Linked DNA regions of Callithrix jacchus. The protein of the gene in region 1 interacts with the protein of each later gene in a biochemical or structural test. Links are inferred from orthologs where the notes say so. Each region holds a gene or a part of one and is shown in the gene's direction. Other genes may lie near its edges.

What was found.
Region 2: the proteins of MATK (region 1) and tyrosine-protein phosphatase non-receptor type substrate 1 form a complex in vitro, tested with the Homo sapiens proteins (3 studies listed by BioGRID, with this or other methods). The link is inferred for Callithrix jacchus from reciprocal best matches to the Homo sapiens genes MATK and SIRPA.
Region 3: the proteins of MATK (region 1) and LRRK1 form a complex in vitro, tested with the Homo sapiens proteins (2 studies listed by BioGRID and IntAct, with this or other methods). The link is inferred for Callithrix jacchus from reciprocal best matches to the Homo sapiens genes MATK and LRRK1.

The regions. Positions count from the first base shown.
Region 1 is NC_133523.1:3,553,189-3,556,070, reverse strand, and holds part of MATK (megakaryocyte-associated tyrosine-protein kinase), read left to right. Parts: intron 1-321; coding exon 322-415; intron 416-1,872; coding exon 1,873-1,938; intron 1,939-2,882.
Region 2 is NC_133506.1:9,495,695-9,499,217, forward strand, and holds part of tyrosine-protein phosphatase non-receptor type substrate 1, read left to right. Parts: intron 1-802; coding exon 803-1,159; intron 1,160-3,523. UniProt on the Homo sapiens protein: Immunoglobulin-like cell surface receptor for CD47. Acts as docking protein and induces translocation of PTPN6, PTPN11 and other binding partners from the cytosol to the plasma membrane.
Region 3 is NC_133507.1:8,917,030-8,919,252, reverse strand, and holds the end of LRRK1 (leucine-rich repeat serine/threonine-protein kinase 1), read left to right. Parts: exon of another isoform or gene 1-178; intron 179-487; coding exon 488-950; 3' UTR 951-1,702; downstream 1,703-2,223.

The DNA.
Region 1 (2,882 bases):
GTGCTGACCACCTGGGATCCCCTGAGCTCTGTGCTTCTCCAATATGGAGATGAAGGGGGTATTCCCTGGGCCCCCCAGACCTGAGTCTGCCCCCAGGGACTGGGATGACATCTTTGGGGACCCCCAGGACCCCCCAAATTGACAGCAATCCAGAGGACCTCCGCTCCTTTTGGCCTGCCCCTTCTCCCATTCCAATGGAAACCAGCCTCTCTTCTCCTCCCTGGTCCCGCCCACCCCACCCAGAGCCCAGCAGAGAAAGGGACGAGATGCCGGGGTTCCCTGTCCTGGGGCGGGGCTCACCACCACCCCCGTATCCTGCAGCATTACACCAAGGACAAGGGCGCTATCTGCACCAAGCTGGTGAGGCCAAAGCGGAAGCACGGGACCAAGTCGGCAGAGGAGGAGCTGGCCAGGGGTAGGGGACGCTCGAGAGGGCCCACCTCCTCCCCTGCCCACATTAGCGCAGCCCAGGAGGAAGGACCCTGGGGCCCTGGGCCTCTAAGGCCAGATCACCCAAGCCTGTCCCCATGCACAGCTATGGGATAGAAGACCTGGGCTGCCTTGGGGTCCACAGACGCCGATCAGTCCTTTACTCACTGGGCCCCACCTTCTGCTGCTCATCTCTGTCACCATCATCCGCCATATCATCTGAGCCAGAAACCTGGCCCCGAAGCCCCACCCACCCACCTCCCCGCCCCAGCATTCCCTCTTTGGCCTGGTTCCTAACACCTGGTGCATCTGCTCCCCTCCCCTCCCCACAGCCCAGCCTCAGTCCCTCTCATCACAGGACCTCCTTCCCAGGGGGCAAGTGCCCCTTCCAGGCCAGGCCCTGAGTGCAGCCCCAAGGTTATCTTTCTATCATGAGATCCTGCCTCTGGGGAGAGAGGCCCGCAGCTCTACTACGTTCCAGAACCTGCCCCCATGGCCCGAGCCACCCTTCCAGCCTCATCTGCAAAGCCCTTCCTCCACGCATCCACCCCGCCCAAGTCAACTGTGATCATCGTTTCCTTCATGCCTCTGAGCCATTGTTGATTCCATTCACTTCGCCTGAAGTGCTTTTCCAGCCCCTGAGTAGTGAAATCCTCAATATTTAAGCTCAAAAGCAAATGCCTCTTCCCACCCCATGTCTGTCTCTTTGAAGTACATCTCTCCTGGGGAAGTCTGTACCCATCGGGGATGGCACCCAGGTGGAGACTAGCATCACCCTGACCAATGATCCCTTAGGAGTTCCGCATTTGGAGGGGGCGCTTTCTGGAGGGAGGGGGAAGCCTGCAGAACCAACCAGAGGACAGTGGAGGGGCCAACACAGGAGTGCTTGGGAGAAGGGTCAGGGAGGCCAGACCCCTGGAATATTCTGGAACCTTTATGGGTTTTAATTTTATTTATTCTTTTGCCCTGTGTGTGTTTCGGTGGTCAGAGGTAAAGGACTATGTAGGGAAGAGCCCAGAGGGCATTTGGAGGGACAAGAGGTCTCCAGGTAGCCAAAGAGAAAAGGGCAGCTCTTATCTCTGAGACGTGAAACGTTTCCTGGCACTGCCCCCTGGGCCTGACAGGGAGTTCCTGGAGGGCAAGTGTGGAGTCTGAGGGTCTTCAGCCAGGCCCCCAGCTTTGACCATTCACCCCACTGTCCCTCCTACAAGCTCCTTTTTGCTCAGGTCAGCCTGAGATATCTGTTGCTTCCAACAACAATAATTGGTACCAGGAGTGGGGTGTCTCTGACATGTCCCAGGGGCATTGCCAGGCCCAGCAGCCAGTCACATGTGTCTCCACAGCTGCAGCACTGTGAGACATCACCTAGTCTCACCAAGTAGAACCCCCAGTGGGAGGGTTTGGGGGGCCTAGTACCGCCCTGACTGGGTCTTCACTCCACAGCGGGCTGGTTGCTGAACCTGCAGCATTTGACGTTGGGAGCACAGATCGGAGAGGGAGAGTTTGGAGGTGAGTGGACAGACTGGGCTGGGGGTGCTGAAGAAAGGTGGAGGGTGCATATTGAGGCTTTGGGGTCACAGAGCCGAATTCAGACCATACTTAACCACCTACTAGCTGTGCACCTGAGGACACACAAATCGCCTGAGCCTCAGTTTCCCTCTCTGCAACAGGGGGTCATGGCAGCTGTCATGAGGAGTACAGTAACTCAAGCAGGTGCCCAGTCGACGTTAGCGAGTTCTCCACACTCCCTCTGCTTGGAACACCGTTCCCTGAAATTAATATTCTGGAAGGCTCTGGGGTGTCCGTCAGGGGTCAGCAGACTCTGTCTGTAAAAGCCCAGATTGTAAATACGTTCTCCTCTGTGGGTCAGGTAGTTCGTGTCACAACGGCTCAAGCCTGCCCTTGTCTTGTGGAGTGAAGGCAGCCACAGACAATATGTAAACGTGTGGGCGTGGCCGTGAAAACGATGGCCCAGAAATTTGAATTTCATATAATGCTCACATATCCCAAAACGTATCTTCTGATTTGTTTTTCCAATCCTTTAAAGATGCAAAAACCAGCCAGGTGCGGTGGCTCATGCCTGGAATCCCAGCACTCTGGGAGGTCAGGGAAGGAGGATCCCTTGAGCTCCAGAGTTCAGGTCCAGCCTGGGCAACGTAGCAAGACCCCCATCTCTACAAAAAAAAAAAAAAAAAAATTAGCCAGGCATGGTGGAGCATGCCTGCAGTCCCAGCTACTCAGGAGGTTGGGATGGGAGGATCCCTTGAGCTCAGGAATTTGAAGCTGCAGTGAGCTGTGTTCATGCCACTGCGCGCCACACGGGTGAGAGACTGAGACTCTGTCCTAAGCAATCAATATTTTAAAAATAAAAATGCAAAAAACATTTTGAGCTCCAGAGCCTTGCAAAAAGAGGTGACACAGTAGATCTGGCCCCCGGCGGGTAGAGCTTTGCA
Region 2 (3,523 bases), on another chromosome or scaffold:
GGTGAGCCAGGTTCCAAACCAGGACCGATGACTGAAGACCGCATGCTGAATTCTGACACTGTCCCCAGCCTTGGCTTGTTTTGTCCTCCCAGAGATCCATTGAGGTGGGGTCATAGTAACTATTTTACAGATAAAGAAACCAAGGCTGAGAGCAGGAAGGGCAAACTGAGGGCAGCTCTTGCATTTGTGTGGCACTGTGCAAGCCGGGCTCAGCCCCGGGCTCCAGGCCGAGACTCACACACACTGGCATGAGTCTACACTGGATCTTATTGGTCACCTGAGCGGTGGCCCAAGGACACATCTGTAGACCAGTGATCCAGAACTCCAACCACGTTCTCCTACTGCCCAAGACCGCTGAGGACAGCCTCCCTTCTCGGGGCCTGCATCCTGGGCCAGGCCAGAAACAGAACCTAACGCCTTGTAGAGCACCACACATGCCAGGCTCCTACCTCTGAGTCCTTGCCCAGGCTGTTCCCTCTGTCTAAACACCAGGCCCTCTTCTGGTTAATTCAGATTGGAATTATAGAGTCTAGCTGAGATGTGACTCTTCCAGAGAGGGTCCAGGCATTCGAAGCCACTCTCTGTCATGTCACTTAGCTTTCTGTGCCTCAGTGTCCCCACTTAGAATACAGGTTCATGTTGCAGGTTTCTTGTGAGGATTAAGTGAGATAATATACACAGTGTGCTGAGTTTAAGGCCTGCTCCTGGTGTGCACCCAGTTAATGAAAGTCATTGATAAACACTTGAGGAAGCAGAGAATCATGTAAGCCTGAAAAAAATCACTGCTTTGTGCTCCTTTCAGGAGTGGCAGGTGAGGAGGAGCTGCAGGTGGTGCAGCCTGAGAAGTCCGTGTCGGTCGCAGCTGGAGAGACGGCCACTCTGCACTGCACTGTGACCTCCCTGGTCCCCGTGGGGCCCATCCAGTGGTTCAGAGGAGCCGGACCAGGCCGGGAATTAATCTATAATCAAAAAGAAGGCCAATTCCCCCGGGTAACAGCTGTCGCAGACCAGACAAAGAGAAACAACATGGACCATTCCATCCGCATCAGTAACATCACCCCAGCAGATGCCGGCACCTACTACTGTGTGAAGTTCCGGAAAGCGAGCCCTATTGACGTGGAGTTGAAGTCTGGACCAGGCACTGAGCTGTCTGTGCGGGGTGAGTACAGCGTGGGCCTCCTTCATCCCCTGGTTTGTGACAATAAGCCAATAATAACACCCTCCGTTCTTTGAGCCATGACTAGGTGTGGTGGTGGGTGCTCCTTTTCATGAATTGATGTCTCCCACTTTTACATATAACGGAAGTTGAGGCCTGGAGATGCCCTGCTATTTGCTCAAGGCTCCACAGCTGGCAAAGACTGGGAAAGTCAGCATCCTTCCTTCAGCTGCCTGGGTCTGCAGCCCTTGCCACTTCTCATCTGCCCCAGCCCTTTGGTTCCACAGATGAGGGAACCAACAGATAGAGTGACTTGTCCAGGCACAGGGCCAGACCTCACCTGCCGCCTCCAGAGAGTGCTTCCCTCTCGGGGTGGTCAAGTCTCCTCTAAGTGACAGGCACCCACTAAAACCTACTATGTGCCAGGCTCCACCAAGCTTGTGTTCTCATCTTTTCCAATAAGAAATCCACCCAGGGCAGCGAGGAGGGAGGGTGTGCTTTTCTTTATTCCATCACCAAACATCGACTGAGAAGATTCCTAAAAGGCACAGATTTACTGTTTAGTCTGATGGCCCTGGTGAGAGGGGAAGCCAGAGGTCCCGGCATTTTCTGTGGGTCTTTTAGAAAAAACCTCGTGCAATTTAGGGACTGATTTATGCAATCACCAAAAGCTCTGAACAAAGCGGGGTCATCAAAGAATGTCCCCCATTCCAGGAAAGAGGTATTCCTTCTGGGTGACTTCGGGTTCCTCAGTTAAGGCAGCAAAGATGCTCATTTGTGTTTGTTGACAGGGCCCCAGGATTCTTGTTCTAGCTCCTGGTCCTGGGACATTAGTACAGGAAGGACCCTCAGACCATCCAGCCCAACCCCCAGTTACAGGTGGCCACTTGAAGTCAGGAGATGACAGGGGCCTTGCCCGTAGTCACAGGGCCAGTTAGTGACAGGATCTGGACCAGAGCCCACATCTGATTCCAGGGAGGCTCCTTCCTGCCCAAGTGTTAAGCATTGTTTCCATAGAAAAGCCTGGAGCATCACAGGTGCTCAATGAAAGCTCCTTGAACAGAGCCAGTAAGCAGGGAGCCAGCACTTCTCCTTTTCATCAGTTTCCCAAAGGTTCAGAATACTCACATTCAGACCCCATTGGTAACTGGAAAACCTCACCCAAATGTAAACCATGTTATTTGAAATGGAGATTTCATATCAGGACATAGAGACCTGTTCTGTTGTGTAATAGTTACCGAATACTCCAGCTTATAGAAATATGAGACTTATTTTATAGTCTTCTATTGATGGCTATATAAGTTGTCCCCAACTTTGAGCTATTAAAACAGTCCTGCAGTGGATGACCTTTAGCATGTGTCACCCTCCTCAGGTGGGAGATGCCCACTGGAGGTGCCATTGCTAGATCAGAGGGTGTGTGTGTTTTCATTTGTGTGGATATGGCCTTATTTCCATCCTAGACATAATAACAAGTCCCCCCACAACCGCTGGACATAGGCAGGGAGGGTGGCTTTATTCTGATCGTGCAGATATTACAGGAAAAGACATTGAGGTTTCCAGATGAGGCATCCCATGCCTAGACAATCGCAGCAAGTAAATGGCTCAGGTGTGACCCAGTTCTGCTGACTCCTAGTACAGTGCTCACTCCTCTTTGCCATGCTGTCAGCCTAAATGATGTCCTGGATGAGAAAGGAGGGAGGCAGGAGGGGGCCAGGGAGCAGCAGCTGGGCCAGATCCTGAGTCTGGCACTTTCTCCCTTTATAACAAGTACTAGAAGGAAGAGCCATGTGTTTGCCCCTTTTACAGATAAGGACTCTGAGGCCCAGAGAGGAGACCTAAGTGGTGAGCAGGTTGTGGAGCCTTGAACCACAGCCCCTGTATCTGTAACACCCAGCTGTGCTTATCAAAGTGGAGAAATGTTCCACCCTTCTCATTCCACTCTTGCAGTTCTATAGCAATGAGCATAGGCTGAGGCAGGAGAATTGCTCGAACCCAGAAGGCGGAGATTGCAGTGAGCCGAGATCGTGCCACTGCACCCCAGCTTGGGTAACAAAGCAAGACTCAGTTTCAAAAAAAAGGGAAAACAAAGCAAAAAATCCTATGGAAGTAGGAGGGGCCAGCCCCCATCAGAAAGGTCCTGCAGGTGTCTCATGATACAGGAACCTGTTCCTAAAGGACAGGTCTCAGCACATCACTGAGCAGCATCCATGGAGCAGAGTCGGGCCTCCTGCAGCCCAGCAGACCACATGCCCACCTACTCATGGTGCTGAGGACTAAGGATGCGGAGATGAGGCGTTTCCTGGGTGGGTGCTTTGGGCCCATAGGAGTAAGAGTTTCTATTCTCCCCTCGGGCTTTCAGGAGCCCAC
Region 3 (2,223 bases), on another chromosome or scaffold:
TCGCCCTCTCCTACTCCAGGAAAAGCCCAGCCCCGGGCCTCACAGAGCCAGGGGAAGGGATCTCTTCACACCACACTTAGAAATCGTATGGGCCTCCAGTCCCAGCTACCCAGGAGCCAAGGCAGGAGGATCCACGGAGCTCGGGAGCTGGAGGTTGCAGTGAGCTATGATCACACCAGCTTTCTAGCCTGGGTGACACAGCAAGACCCAACTCTTAAAAAAAATCATACAGGAAATGACTAATGAACTCGACTCCATGAAACTGAAACTTACATGGAAAAATTAGTCCAAAGCTTGAAAGTATCGATTGAGGAAGAAAAAAATATTTGCAACACAAATGAGAGACCAAGAGCTCACTTACCTTTATTAGAGAGAACATAAACTCAATAAGAAATAGAAAACCCAAAAGGCAAACAGGTTAAGGGCATGGGCAGCAATTGAATTACAAAGAAACAGACCCTTAAACATCAATGCTTGACCTCACCAGACAGCAAGGAAACAGACCTGAAGACTTGAAGACAGCAGTAAAATGTCACTTACCACCCTCGGATTGGCAGAGATTAACCGGCCAGCAACTCCTTCTTGAATACCTACTAAGTGTCAGGCACTGTCACTGGACACACAGACAAGAATCTTTGTGGGGTTTTTTTGCATGTTTGTTTTTGTTTTTGAGACACAGTCTTGCTCTGTCACCCAGGCTGGATTGCAATGACACCATGGTCTCAGCTCACGGCAACCTCTGCCTCCCAGGTTCGAGCGATTCTCCTGTCTGCCTCAGCTTCCCGAGTAACTGGGACTACAGGCACGTGCCACCACACCTGGCTAATTTTTACCATGTTAGCCAGGCTGGTCTCGAACTCTTGACTTCAGATGATCCTCCCGTCTCGGCCTCCCAAAGTGTTGGGATTACAAGTGTGAGCCACTGTGCCTGGCCGAATCTCTACTTCTAGGAGCTCACAGGAGGAGTTGACAATAAGCACCCAAGCACAATAGTAGAGCAGCCAGCTGGACCACCCAGTGGGGGACCTGGGGGCTTGGCCTCGGGCTGCTACATTTAACTGAGGCTGGGAGGCTTGCACCCTGCACCAGGAGGTACAATATGAGACTGAAAACTGAGGGCACTAGGTGCAAGGACCTTGCACGTGCAAAGGCCCTGTTGTAGGATCAAGCCACTGTGTGGGAGGGACAGGAAAGCCTGGCGTGGCTGAAGCCTTGAAGGAGGGGAGGAAGCATGGCCCTGTTCGCACAGAATTGCAAGTGTGGGTCCCCACTGAAGCTCCTGGCAGTTTTAAGCAGGATTATTACATGTAATCATCTTTACAAATCACTTTGCTGAATGGAGGATGGATTAACAAGGGGGTAGTTGGAAGTTGGGGCTACCCCTTGGAGGGCATTTTGGCCTTATCTACCCAAGTTTCAAATGCACATACCCTCTGACCCAGCAGGTCCACTTAAGTATTCGTTCCTAACTATTTATAAAGGGGCCCAGGGATACAGAACAAGGATGTTGATTCTAAGAACAAGCATCTCTTAGAATATGGCCCCAAACAGGAAGCAACCCGAACCTCTATCAGGAGGGAAGTCATAAAATTCCTGCATGTACAACAATACGGTACTCTGCAGCCTGTCAGAGGCAGGCAGTGCTAACTGCGCTGGTCTGGAATGTTCTCCAAGATATAATAAATGCATTTTTTTGAAAGCAGCTTGCAGTGCAGTGTGTATTGAGTTACCATGTGTGTAAAAGACACTGTAGAGTTCCACGTGTATGCACAGGGAAAATATTCCACAGGACACCCACAGACGTGGCAGACACTGGTCTCCTCTTGCAGGGAGAGCTGAGGGCTAGCATAGAGGAGGGAACCGTTTATTCTGATCGCACACCTTCCTCTCTGCACCCTGAGTTGTGTGCGTGCCTCATGATGGAGGGAGGTAGGCTGGGAAGGGCCTCTGTCCTGAGTCCTACAGGTGCCTCTTGGCCTTGGTCTCCAGAGGTAATGGGGTGTACCCCTCTGTCTGCATTCCTATGTGGGTGTCTGACTCCATGGAGGACAGGTCCTGGGGAAGGGCTGGGTCCCCTAACAATCCTGTCCATCTGACTCCATGCTCCTGGCTGAACCAGAACCTCCCTGGCTGTCTTTGGCATAAAGGCACAGAGTCCCAGCCGAGGTGGGTGGACCACGAGGTCAGGAGTTCCAGACCAGCCTGGCCAACATGGTGAAACAC